Linked DNA regions of Nothobranchius furzeri. The protein of the gene in region 2 interacts with the protein of the main gene of each other region in a pairwise test. Links are inferred from orthologs where the notes say so. Each region holds a gene or a part of one and is shown on either strand. Other genes may lie near its edges.

What was found.
Region 1: the proteins of xpo7 (region 2) and uso1 interact in binary tests that used the Homo sapiens proteins (3 or more experiments, as listed by UniProt). The two-hybrid records come from large-scale screens. The link is inferred for Nothobranchius furzeri from reciprocal best matches to the Homo sapiens genes XPO7 and USO1.

Annotation. Positions count from the first base shown.
Region 1 is NC_091744.1:13,143,942-13,148,173, reverse strand, and holds the start of uso1 (general vesicular transport factor p115), read right to left. Parts: upstream 2,801-4,232; 5' UTR 2,664-2,800; coding exon 2,598-2,663; intron 1,682-2,597; coding exon 1,595-1,681; intron 576-1,594; coding exon 511-575; intron 1-510. UniProt on the Homo sapiens protein: General vesicular transport factor required for intercisternal transport in the Golgi stack; it is required for transcytotic fusion and/or subsequent binding of the vesicles to the target membrane.
Region 2 is NC_091746.1:34,509,087-34,518,334, forward strand, and holds part of xpo7 (exportin-7), read right to left. Parts: intron 6,962-9,248; coding exon 6,857-6,961; intron 4,933-6,856; coding exon 4,767-4,932; intron 4,035-4,766; coding exon 3,961-4,034; intron 3,883-3,960; coding exon 3,763-3,882; intron 3,683-3,762; coding exon 3,536-3,682; intron 3,461-3,535; coding exon 3,288-3,460; intron 1,378-3,287; coding exon 1,184-1,377; intron 1,113-1,183; coding exon 1,007-1,112; intron 800-1,006; coding exon 664-799; intron 1-663.

The DNA.
Region 1 (4,232 bases), on a different chromosome or scaffold from region 2:
ACTAGTTGAAGGAATGCTAAAGATCGCAAAAATTATTTCAAGCTCTATTTTTCCACTTTGTTTAGCACTCGTGTCGCTCACTGCATTTGCCAACCAATATGGTAGACCCACGTGATCAGGTGATGTGGGTGCAAAGGGTCATTAGTAGCCTGGGTGAGGGGTGGGTGGGCGTGGCCGTTCCAGCTTGTTTTCTTAAAGTGACAGAGCCCTGAAACGGCTCATTCTGGAAGGTACTGAAACAGTCCAGATAAAAACTGCTGGGATTACTTTGTGTGAGAATTTTTGTGCAAAGAACTTCACGAGCATGTTTTGTATCGATAAAATAACTATTGCATAATTTTAAAAAGTCATAATTTGTCTCCTTTAAAAGGATTTTTTTGAAACCTGTGAAACTCTTAAAGACTTAAAACATTCAAATACAGCAATCATTACATCTTGAAAGTTTAAAAAAAAACTAAAGAAAGGTTTATTGGCATAACTGGAACAAAATTAAACAGCACACTAATATACCTGTCAGTTTGCAGGATGTTTATCAGGTGATCCATTGCCTGTGTGCCGACTTCCATGCGGTATTTCTACAAAAACACAACAGCTCTCATAAATAATGTAACACTTGGCAACTAGAGTCCAAAAACTCAAGAGAAGCTAAAGAATTTAAGCAAAGGTAAATGCTTTATGAACTCTTTGGTGCTTTGCAAATCCCTTATTCAAGCGTGATAAACTCATTAGTCATGGCTGAAAGGACAGCCAAAAACAAAACCGTTCAACACGTGAAAACAGGCGTGGTGGTGGTCAAGGATTAGTTCACCTTTATCAGCAAAATGTATTTTTTTAAAACGGCATTTATCTACAGGTAATCATGACATTTTTAAAATCTGACATTTTTACACTGAGATAAGTTTGTCTCTGGTGTTCAGATTCACTCAGATGGATGAAAAACCCTTCTCAGCAATCCTGACAAATAAGTCCCTTACTGATAACCAATAAAGCACTGGCATCAGGATCTCTGGTATTCCCTTTTTTTTTACACTAAAATGATGTCCGTGCTCTTCTAACATTAAACAATTTTTCTTTTGATAATTAAACTCCATTCATTAAAATTATGAAGTAAAAACAGAGCTGAGAAACAACAAAAGTGAGCTTTTAACAACTGGCATTCATGGATCCCAATCATGAATGTGTTCATCCACTGTTAACTGGTTCACTAGTGGCTGTCAGCATTTTGTAAAAGGGGTTGGTAATATAAAATCTGTTCAATAGCTGTTTGCAAGAGTGTTTTGAAGCACAGGCTAGTGAAATAACTAAATAACGAAAACAAAATCTAATGTGTGCAGAGATAAATTGTCCCCTTGCACCAAGTTACTCCAAATACCCGGAACATACATACCGAAGACAGGTTCAAACAATATATATGAAGAGATGTGTAAAGTAGCATTATAACAGTTATATAGTAATTTGGCTGTGAAATTAAACTAATCTTTAAAAGTTTCAAACCGATGGTAGCAGCAGCACATGACTCTCCACACAGATTACAGGTGGTGAACTTAATAAACAACCTACTTAGCATTTCTGTACATTTATCCTCAAACTTTACCTTAGAGAGAGATTTAAGAGCCCGAACAGCATCTCTGCGGTCCTCCAGGAGTGTTGAAGAGGCTACTCGGTCACACAACTTCTGGATCTGTCAATAGGAAAAAAAAAAACATTCTGCTCATGTAATTTGCATCCTTATCTCCTCCTCTATGTGTGTTATTGTATTTAAATATATGTTGCAGTTAAATAATAGCATAGGAAAAGAAAGAATAAAAGGTTTTCATAGTAATAATAAGAGCACATGTGTGACAAAGTTCTGACTTTTGATACTAAAACTAAAGGTTTATCTGCAGAGCTGAATAATGAAATTCTTCTAGGTTAAACTGGAGAATATTGCAGCAAAAAATCAATACATCGCTGTAGAGCAGACATAAAGCAAGAATGTAAATGATAGCACAGCAGTGGTCACCTAAACTGATAGATAAATGGGTTTGACTTCAATACTGCTGATCATTCCAAGTGGGATAAAAGACCCTGGAGAAAGTGAAAGTAAGACTGTCCCTAGATGTGAACGATGTGCGCATTTTCATAAAACAACTTAAAACGGGTCACAGCTGTAATGAACAAGATCGTGGGGGTAAGCCTGACATTTTCCACTCTAAAGGGCTTGACAGAAGTGGCAAATACCAGTTTGGTACAGCAGTGGGTGTATAACACCTCCACTACGTTTAATTACTGTTCGTCAACTTGTCGTTACTGATAAAGAAAATTACCAAACAAGGATTGTGGCTGAGAAGTAAACAGTTGCTGCCGATGACTCCATCCTTTGAGCTTGTTTTCTTTAAATGTTCATTCATAAAGTAAAGTTTACACAGCCTCACCCTCATATCACCATGACAGCTGCACGGCTACAGGCTTACACAAGTGAAAATGCGTTCATGTTCTTAACACATGTAGTGGCTCTAGAATGAATAAAATGTGAGAAAAAAAAATTCAACTACGAGTGCTTTCTTTTCAATTCGACCAAGACCTTAGCTAGCTTAGTAGCTGAGATGCTAGCTCACCGTCTCCGCTCCTGTTGGTTGCGGCCCGGTAGCCTGCCCTGTAATCACTCCTCTGAAGAAGTTCATACTCACAGACGTCCTGTGCTTCAACACAAGCTGACAGCTATTTACGTAAGCCGCGTAGAAAATGTAGAATAAGTGAAAAATAATACAGTAGTAAGGAAATCTAGCACTGTGTTGGATGACGGACCCCGGAACACAAACAGGAGAGCAGTGCGCATGCGCGCAAACGTGGCGAAACGTGGACGTATTAGCAGATGAGTGAGCAGTTTGTTTAAAGGGCCAGGGGACTACATTAGGTTTAGGCCCCCGTTTTCCTTTTTGATTTTTCTTTCGCATTTTAATCAAAATTATTATTTTTATCACATTTTTACTGTGAAAAATGAGCCACTATATAAAAATTGTTTCTTCTTTCAAGGGTAACATTTCATGAAAACATTTAACTCACAATGGCTCCAAACGGTGCTGCTGCTGCACCTGCCTCAGCTTCTAGAGGTTTCAGAGTTGTAGCTGTTTGATTCACACTAGATTTGCTGTCGCGCATCACACAATAAATGCACCAAAAAGTAATTGAAGTATGTACTATCTTAAAAACAGTATGTTTGAACTACATTTATAATTTTATTCTCAGTTGGGGGTGATTGTGTGTGTGTGTGTGTGTGTGTGTGTGTGTGCGCGCGCGCGTGCCTGCGTGCGCGCGCGCGCGCGTTAGTGACATGTTTTTCTGACTAATGGGCCATTCCCATCTGTACCGGGTCGGCCCGGGCCGGGTAGCCCCAGTCGGCCCCAGTCGGCCCCAGCCTGGCCCGGTTGATTCCACACATTCTTGTCTTAAGCCCATGTGGGCTGATTCTACCCACCAATCAGAGGCTTGCTCTAATGGAAGGTGTGAATTTGCTGTCAGCAGTGGGTGTGTTGGCCCTGGTCGGCCTGAAGCAGACCCCCTCGAGAAGAGGGCTGAGAATGAGCCTTGGTTGGCCCGGAAAAATACCAGGCCACCCAGATATGTAAACAACCTACGCTACCCGGCCCGGGCCGACCCGGTACAGATGGGAATGGCCCACAAGAATCCAAGAGCGGGTGTGAGTGGGTGCAGGGCTGTGGCAGCTCCATCCTCTTGGTTAGCCAGGCAACGCCTCCTTTTGGCACATGTTTCAAACAGGAAGCTTGGGTGGAGTAAGACTCTGGTGGGGGGGATAACTTCAAGTTATATTAAAGTTATATTATAATAGTTAAATGATCCTTACAAAACATGTCTACGAAGCACAAAATCCGGTGTCACGCAATGCAATTTCAGCAGTATTAATCTTGACAGTTTCAGTACCTTCCTGCATGAGCTTTTCATGGCTCTGTCACATAAAAATAAACTGGAGCCGGCCAAACCCACCCCTCCCCTGCTCTGACTGCTATAAGCTGAGGCACTCCAATATCTGGGAGAGGCTTGGAGTAGAGTGCTGCCCCTCCAGCAACAGCTCTCTCTTGCATGTGAGAGGTGGTTCTATTCTAATTCCCCTGTTTGTGATGTCACAAACTGGGACATTTCGAAACCACTTGTTTTAGACAGATAATTCATAAAACCAAACACTGATAGAAAGCAGTTGGATTTTTTTTTCTCAATTGGAGTGTTGCCACCTT
Region 2 (9,248 bases):
CAACTTTTTATCCATTTGATTTTACTAGTTATGTCACCTTAACATCCAAGAAAACTACTAAATTATTAGTTTTTTTTAATAGGGATGTAAGAAAATATCGATATGGCAATATATCGTGATTTTTTTCCAGCGATAATATATCGATATTCAAAAGCTGTGTATCAGATTTTTGGAAGAATTTACATGCAAACATTTGTGTATTTTCTTTGGTTTTGGTGCAATTCAAACGCTGACTGATAGTTGGCAGCAGTGTGCAACGGGTTTTGTTTCCACCACTGAAATGCAAATCCCTCTATTATGGTTCACATACCTCATGTTAAACATGGTATGTATCAGTTTGGACTGTTTATTGAATTTTCCCAAAATAAATTCAGTCTAAAAAAATCGCTAACAACATCTGACTGAATGTATCGCAATATGTCGTGATACATATCATATCGCCAAAATTTCACCAATACACATCCCTAGTTTTTATTAATATGTAGCTTTATGATGTGTGTCTCACAACAGGTTACTAAACTGAGTCTAACTCCAAACTGTTTCTAGTTTCCTCCACTTATCTGACTGGTTGACTTTTGCAGTAAGAGCCTTAAACAAAAGAATAAAGTGGATTGGTATGAAGCTCAGGGGCAGCCAGGCAGCGTGCTCCTCTGCAGAGCTCACCTTTGATGACTTTTGAACCTGATCACCGATGTAGATCTTTCTGAACTGTTCAAAGAAGCTGAGCATGGCCAGCTCCAGCCTCTCGTTTCCAGCCTGAGCGAGCCGCGAGTCTGTGAGGTTCATCAGCTGCAGCACCCTGACAGAAACAAAATCCCCGTCAGTGCAGATGAGCGACTGAGTGATTCTGATCAGGTCAACATCAATAAAACATGAGTGACCCTGCTGTTTTGGCTTCTTCGTTTTTTGACTCATTCTGACAAACTTCCCTTGTTTCTGAGATTTTACAAAAAAATGTTAAAAAATCCATTTGAAGAACATTCTCTTGGGATGTTGCGATGCTTACCGACAGACTAACTCCCCATCCATGGCGTCCTGCTCGTCTGTGCTAGCAAAAGACACCCGTCCACCAATCACCGCCCCGATGATATAAACCAACCACGTCAACCGTCCTGCACACAGATCCCAGTGTTAACACACACGCCCACTGCTCTGCTGCAGGGTGAGCGTGGGCTCAGCGTACCTTCTTGTACCGTGACGTCCACGGCGCTGGAGTTAGTGGACTGCAGGAGCTCCTGGTATGTCTGTGCTGCCTGATCAAATAGCTGCACTAGTAGTGCACACGTCTTCTCATATTCACACCTGCCAATGGTGGACAACTGGTCCAACTGCTGCTGGACGAGGCCAGCATCATCCAGAGGGTCTTCTAAGCCGTCTCTGTAGAGAGAACAGATTCATTCATTCCCCCCCCCTACTGGTTTTATTAATCTGTCTCAGATTAAAGAAGCAAATAATCCCAACTCACTAGATGATCAGCAGCTATGCAGAGAAACAATGCTGCTGTTAGTTACTTGTGTGAATTTTTAACTGACAAAAGAAACAAACATTTATAGTTTCATGTCATAGTGGCTGAGACGATTCACACAATGCAGAAAATATCCTGTGTGTCTGAGGTTATTGAAGAGACGGTGCAGAGCGGCATGGCAGAAAGACAAGTGTGTGTGTGGTAGACTATAGTGGTGTTTTATTTTGCTCCTTTATGATCAACTCATTCACTGCCAGCCGTTTCCTGATCGGTAAAACCCTTCGCTGCCAGTGTTTCTCGCCATTTTTACAGTTTTTTTAAGAGTCATAGAACGTTGCATGCTAGGATGACGTAGACGCCAAAACAAAGCGGAGACTCACCTCTTACATCAGAAAGGATCAGCGCGTTCCGATCGTTATACGTTCTTTCATAATCCGTTGTTGAATTGTGATCGGCAGATATTTTTCCGGTTCGCGCCTCACTTTCTTTTACAGGAACGGCCCAAAACGATCTCCTAACACATGGATTTTCTGCTTCCTGATCACGTGACGTGTGGCGCACGCGGATGAAGATCGGCTTCAGCGTTGAGATGTTTGTTCTCTTGGTGCGGGGGCTCGTTCCGATGCCCAAACAGTAAAAAAATGCAAATGACGACATTGTGACGACATTGGCAGTGAACGGTTGGATTTAAAATGACGACTTTAGTCGTCAATGGCAGTGAATGAGTTAAACACCCTGTGTTCACATATGTGGACATCGACTTCTTGCACTACAATATTTTATTCTCTTTAACTTAGTTTTTATTTTTTAGAGACACTTGATATTAACTTTAAGTAAATTTTTTTTCTTTTTTTCAGTTTGTTTAAAAATGTTTAGTTTAATGTATTTAATAATTTTTGTTTGTTTATGAGAGTCAACTAACACTGGCTAGAATTGTTAAAGAAACGATGTGTTTTTACTGATAAACTCCGGAGATATCACTGAAATGTTGTGGAAAATGAATTAAATGATGCCCAGTTGTTGCATCGCATCGTACAGGAGCCCGTGAGGACAAAAAGCATTTACAGGTTTGCAATAAGGAGTTACAAAACTCTCAACATTCATGAAAGTTGTTGTTTTACACATTTACTTCTTCACTCGTTCACTTCATTGTGAACCAATCACAGCACTTTATCCGCTTTGTGGGCCGATCAGGGACCTCTATTCGTCTGGTGGGTGGGATGATGCAACAGAGTGGAACAAGATGGCAACAGCTCATTAGAAACGGCTTTTACATCAATTTAGGACTATTAGGCCTTGGGCTTAATTAGGATCAGTAGCAGATTGATGTATTTATGTTATTTTTTTTTTAAAAAAAGGATGTGTTTTCGCCTTCTTCAACAGCGAACCGCCTCGTTCACTGAAAATTGTTGTGTCGAGTACGTCACGTTGTTCATTGTCCTGTAGCATGTGGCGATCGTTTGAAAGACAATGGTAGAACCCGCCCCACCACCGAGAGCTGTCAATGAAGTGTATTCATGTAGCCTGTACTTATGTATGCTTGCCAGGCTACAAAAATACTGCTTGCTTGCAGTGATTTGACCAGGATGAATCATGAATAAAATAAATAAACCAAAAAAAGGTGTCATAAGCACTGAAGTAATTAAGATTAACAGATTTGTCTTAATGTATGTCCACCCATGTGATTAGATCAGTAGATAAGTATTTTAAGGTTTGTTAGTTTTAGAGAAAAAAATCTAGAAACATCAGCTCATTACAGCTTTATAGTGATCTGTTAAGCGATCACATGAAAGGTCACCATGTAGTCGTGTGTGTGTGTTACCTGAGAATAACATGGACCGACTCCAGCCGTGACGTGATGTAGGCCTTGGTCACCTCTGGGGTGTATGTCTCCAGTAGGTGAGGCTCGGTGGCTTTGACGTAGGGCACGGACGCGGCCAGACGCTGCCACAGACTCAGCAGGTAGTGAACACTGTTTGGGGCGAACTCCCAGTGCTGGAAGACAGCGGGATATGTCACTATGTGACGCCCACCCAGTAGTCTGAGTTGGTTAGCGTAAAGATGACTCACCTGCAGGCTGGTGACGGTGAAATTGGCTATGAGGCGAATTACTTCAGGGTAGTTCTCTACCTTCACCAGCTCCCCCAGCTGGTAGTTACTCTTCAGCCTCGCCAGCAGACGACAGAACTCGTGGTAGTTGTTTGGATCTGGCAAACACTGCCGCACAAACACACACCTATCTCAACACAACACACGACCGGGACTGCAGGATTGCTTTTAGTTTGTGAGTGTTTTACCTGTGGGTTTGCTAATATCCTCTTAACGCCATCCACTAAATGTGAGAGGAACTTTGCACGCTCTGCGTTGTTGAAGAGGGACCTCCTAACAGAGGCTATCTGAACTAGACACGACAACACCTGCACAGGTACACCAGCAGCTTAGACTTGCTCTGGGAACGCCACACAAGTCTCACAAGTCTGAGTGGTGCTACTTACCAACGGGGACAGGGACGGAGGGAGGGAATGGTATAAATTGAAAAACAGCTGTAGTGTGGAGGAATCGAGGAACGCTGCAGAGGAGATAAAAGGTGATGTGGAGGTTTACAGGTGTAAGCTTTTCAGTGCAAGAACACGTATGAATGCTCAGAGGTGGATACCTCACTGCACTTTAGTCCTTTCTAAAAGGGCTTTGTGCAGAAAAAAGCCCATCCTTGTTTTCCGTTCACATACATTATTTATAAACAAAGCCTTCGATATCACATTTCTGTTCTGTACAAAGTTCTGCTCAGCAGGAAACAGTTGTCCATCAGAAAGTGTCTGCTAGGAACGTTTGTTTCAACATCTAAACCCAGAGTTCATCTCTGTTTGGGATTTTTCCAATCCAATCCGATTGTAAAGCACATTTAAAACAACACATTGAACCAGTGTTCTGTAGAATTATAAAAATGTATAAAACACAGAAAACAAAAACAATAAGAGAACCTCTGTGTTTAAAGAGATTTCAAAACAGGAAGTGAAGATGCCCGTCTGATGTTTAACTATCTGGGCAATGACTGAAAAAGTCTGATCTCCTCTGAGCATCAGTGAGGGCGCAACACGGAGCAGGTAAGAAGCCCCGCCAGCCAGAGGCAGAAGACACCCGTTTGTTGCCCCTCGTGATTAAAATTGTAAACCTGACAGCAGAAAACTGCAGATCCATAAGTGTTGGTGAACCAGCTGACAAGTTGTTTAAAACACAGAAAAACCAGACAAAGACCAGACAGAGGCTGATGGCAGCTACACACACCAGAACAACCAGCTACCTGATCTCCATGATGTAGGAATTTGAACGGTGCAGAGGTCGTCTGACGACTCGTCTGTGGAAGTTCCTATGAAGTCGAAGTTGAGGCAATTGTAGCTGAGTTTCAGGAGCTGCATCAGCAATCCGTGCTGAGATTCATCGTTCAAGTTTAGATTCTTCCCTGAAGCCTGAAGACAAAGAGACAAACTGTTAATGTGGGGTCTGATCAGAGCCTGACCTGTTAGGTTTGAGCCCAAACCCCAGTAGCAGCTTTTCTGACTCCTAAATTCTTCTTCTGGGTTTGGAGTCTTTGTTTAGGGGTGGACCCCTGCTCTGGTCCTGCTGTTTCTGTATGTTATCCCAAACACTGATAACACTGATGAGATTAGGACTGCACCAACAGCACATTTTGTGTTACCTTCTGCTGAAGAAGTTGTTAGGGATGTTGTCCTACTGTGGATTCGTTCAGGGCCAATCAGACGCCTCCTTGTTGGTTTTTAATCAGGTATTAAATATGATCAGGACTGATAACTCCAGAGAGCCCAATGCTGTTCCTCGGCACCCCAGTTCCTGTGTTTTTGACCTTGATCTATGCTGGTGACCTTTTGGTTCTGATCAGATCTCTGCAGACAGCAGGTAGGTGTAGCAAGTCTCAAAGGTGTCTGTCAGGTCTAAGCTGATGGCAGCAATGGGCCGTCTCCAGGTCTGAAGGGAAGTGAGGATGGTCTCGTTCATCAGTTTTTTTTGTGTTTTTTTTTTATCTAACTAAGAACAACAATGTGTCTGTCTTCCACATTGAAACCTGCACCTGGAGGAGACCTGGCTGATGTAGCACCCATGCTGACTGGTTCTCTATTGCCTCACCTCAGTAGAAGGTTGTTTTTCCCTGACTTGATGTGTTTGTCCTTTAAGAACTGATACTGTTTATGAAACAAAGGCTCACCATGTAGAACATATTTTTCTCATTTTGCTTTCTTCTATAGAGCTCCGGACGTCACGCGACTCTCAGAGAGTAGACGCCATGTTGGCAGGCAACAAATGTAAACAAATTGAACGGGATCGGCTTGGATTTTACTTCGTCGGAGTTTACTTCACACTTTAAAACTGAAGAAATCGTTTTATATAGTCAGAAATAAAATAGACTAAACATCTCCGACCCTTACCGTGCCCCTGGGATACTTTTTTAAAACGCCAGAAGCTGTCGGAGCGGACTGCTTACCAGACTTGGCCGGGGAACCCCTTGGGATTCCCCCGGAGGAGCTGGCCCAAGTGGCTGGGGAGAGGGAAGTCTGGGCCTCTCGACGCTACTGCCCCCGTAACCCGACTCTGGATACGCGGATGAAAATGGATGGACAAATAACATAGATTTACATGTAAGTAGTTTAAATAGAGTGCTGTGTTGTTTGAATGTATAAACTGAACGCCAAGAGAAACCACTAGTTTGATTTATTTCCGTGAATAAAATAAATATGTCAGGCAGCAGCGTCTCAGGATCTGTCTGAGATCTGTCTCGGTGAGACAGATAATAGCAATCCAAAGTGCTTTTTATGTGTGATCTGACAATTGATCAACCATTGCTTTAAAATGAAATACAGCTTAGCCGGCTAATTGCTGTGATCATAAAACACGTAAACGGCAGCACGCAGAACTCACGAGGCAACGTTTTACGTGATGTTTACTTGTTGCTATGAGTAATAAGACAGAAAAAGCCACGCCAAAATAAGTTTAGGAAACCGGCGCTCCGGATCTTGGGGAATCCTGTAGATGAATCATTCCTTATGTCGTCCGCATTTGTTCTGCATCCTGGGGCACGACAGGAATCTACCATATTTCCTGTCTGATTGAGTTTTCTGACAACAACAAATAGTCCAGCTGCGGGCTTCTGCCTGCCAATTTGGCGCCGTTTCGATTTGAACTGTTGCATGCCGGGAGAAGTGACGTCAACTCCTATAGTTTAACTTCACAGCCTTTCCCCACAGCTGCCTAAAACTTTTGTACAGCATCCATTTACCATTTTCTTTCTTTGATATCGTTACTATACACCAGGCTTGTACAGGTTTATGTAAGTTAGACCAGGATGGTCAGGGAGAAGTGATGATGTAACTTCCAAACCTGCTTTAGGAGGTTACAGGACAGAGTGAAGATGTCAAAAAGGGAGGAGTCTCTGAACGAGGAGGCGATCTTCCTATGTTTGGTCAGAGGATGTGTTGTGTCGGCCTGAGGAAGAAGAGCACATGCTTTAATAGGAGTTATACAGCCGATGCGGCAGTAGGTTAGTGAAAACTGGTTGTGGACGTTGGAGGAAATTAAACTGACTTAGTCCAGTTTTCCATTTATGTTCCCATTCCCTGTAAATGCTCTGCCACTTAATTTCTTAAAATATGCATATATCTATGGAAGAAATACAGTCTGAATTTTAATTCTGTGAATTTATGTATTCAAAGTTTTTACTTCAAATGCACAGGCAAAGAATTCAACAGCAAAAAATCAGCAACAAACGAGGTGACCTCCTGGTGACCCAAGCCAAAGCAATCGTTGAATGAGTCAATGCCTTGTTGGCGTCACATGATCAGAGAAGCCTAATTTGATTGGCTAAAAGCCTCTCAACCCAATTGAGTGATGATTATTTGTATGAACAGTTGACATTGATATCAGAAATAGGACGGATATCGGCCCAAAAACACCGCATTGGATTATATCAGACGGCATCAAAAATGTCCAATATTAGCAATTCGTTCAGATTCTAATTTAATTCCAGCAATTATATCCAGCAGCGCAAAGCCCACGTGATCAGAACAGTGCGTGTTAGCAAAGTAGCAAGGAACAAGAGCAATGTCGTATTTTTTGTTCAAGTCTGTGGCTGGAGGGTGGCTCATTGCAACATTTGCCATGCACAAGTTTCCCGTGGTGGAAAAGAACCAGGAATGTTTAATGCATCCAACCTCATTCATTGTTTGAAGCAGCATCACAAAACACTGCATGAAGATTTTCCGTGTGTGAAATTGAAACTTTGGACTTGTAGCAGTTTCATATGTGCCTGCCCTCACAAGTTCCTACCATTTGCTGACTGTAAAATATAACGGAATTGACCATGAATTAGTATTTTGTAGGGATGCTCCGATCCGATCATGTGATCAGAAATCTGGCCAGATCACGTGTTTTTGAAAGGATCGGAATCGGGAGAAATAAATTGGATTTAACATTTTAAAACAACAAACATGACTTGAAAATGAATCTGGAGATAGAAATTTTCAAATTGAATAAAAATGACAGTTTTAATTTCAATAAGTCCCTCTACACCATCAATGTGTGTTTCTTGTACGAAAACAACACAGTAAAGTCACACAATTTACGGCAGGCAAGGACTCAGACACCAAGCGCCGCTGTTAGCAAGCCTGCTAACACTGAGCTAACATGTCTCCTCAGAACAGCTAAAGTATCTGCAGCTTGGTGGTATTTTAAACCAGACAGCGAAGGCAGAGCTACAGACACTTGTAATGTGTGCGTACTGAGCATTCAACATGCTGGACACAGCTCCATGATTCACTGCCTTCAAACAAGCTACTTTGCTGGAGTGCTACAGGTGTTATGCAGAGAAAAGTAACCCTGCCTGCTCCGTCAGCTGCATACTGAGGGAGTAAACAACGCTGCTACTTTTAAGTATATTCACAATATAAACAAGTTTTTGATCGGTGTACTTCCTAAAAAATGTAAATAGGAATTTTTTCGTCTTATTTTAATGCTTTTCTGACAAGTATCGGATCAGGACTCGGTATCGACAGATACACGTAATCGAATGACTTGGAATTGGACCGGGAGCAAAAAATAAATAAAAAAACGTGATCGCAACATCCCTAGTATTTTGCACTTTAAAAAATATCTTGTTTATTTATTCATTAAAAATATTTTTCTGAGTATTCTAATATATTATTTATTCTTTTATTCATTTGTTATATATTAGGTTTAAGGTTTACATTTATGCAACCAATGGTTAATAATTTTTTTTTCCATACTTACTATTGCTGGCTTTTGTTCTGTGATTGAGTAATACCACTTGATCAAGTCTTTCATACATTCCACACTAAAAAATAGTTAAAAGTGTGTATGATTTGTGCTGATATCATATGGATTGATATCGGTATCGGTCAATACTGATCGTATTGGAAGTGAAAAAGTTGCATCGGGACATTCCTAATGAACTGTATAAACCTTTCGTATTAAAATAAACTTCCCTTTTGGTTGGTTTAGGATCCTTTTTGTCTATTATTTTTCTATTCAGAAGCTTTGCTCTGTCTCAGGGAATTTGATCACTTAATTCACAGGTTGGTAAAAAGAAAAGATTTTAAACTCCCACTTTATTTCATAGTTATTAGATAAAATACAGAAATTGATGTATCCTAATAAACTCTGACTGAATCAGTTGTTTCTGGAGAGAACTTAAACTTTCTGATAAATGGTTCATGCATGTCCACTGAGTTTATAAAACTAGATCTCCATGGCGCAG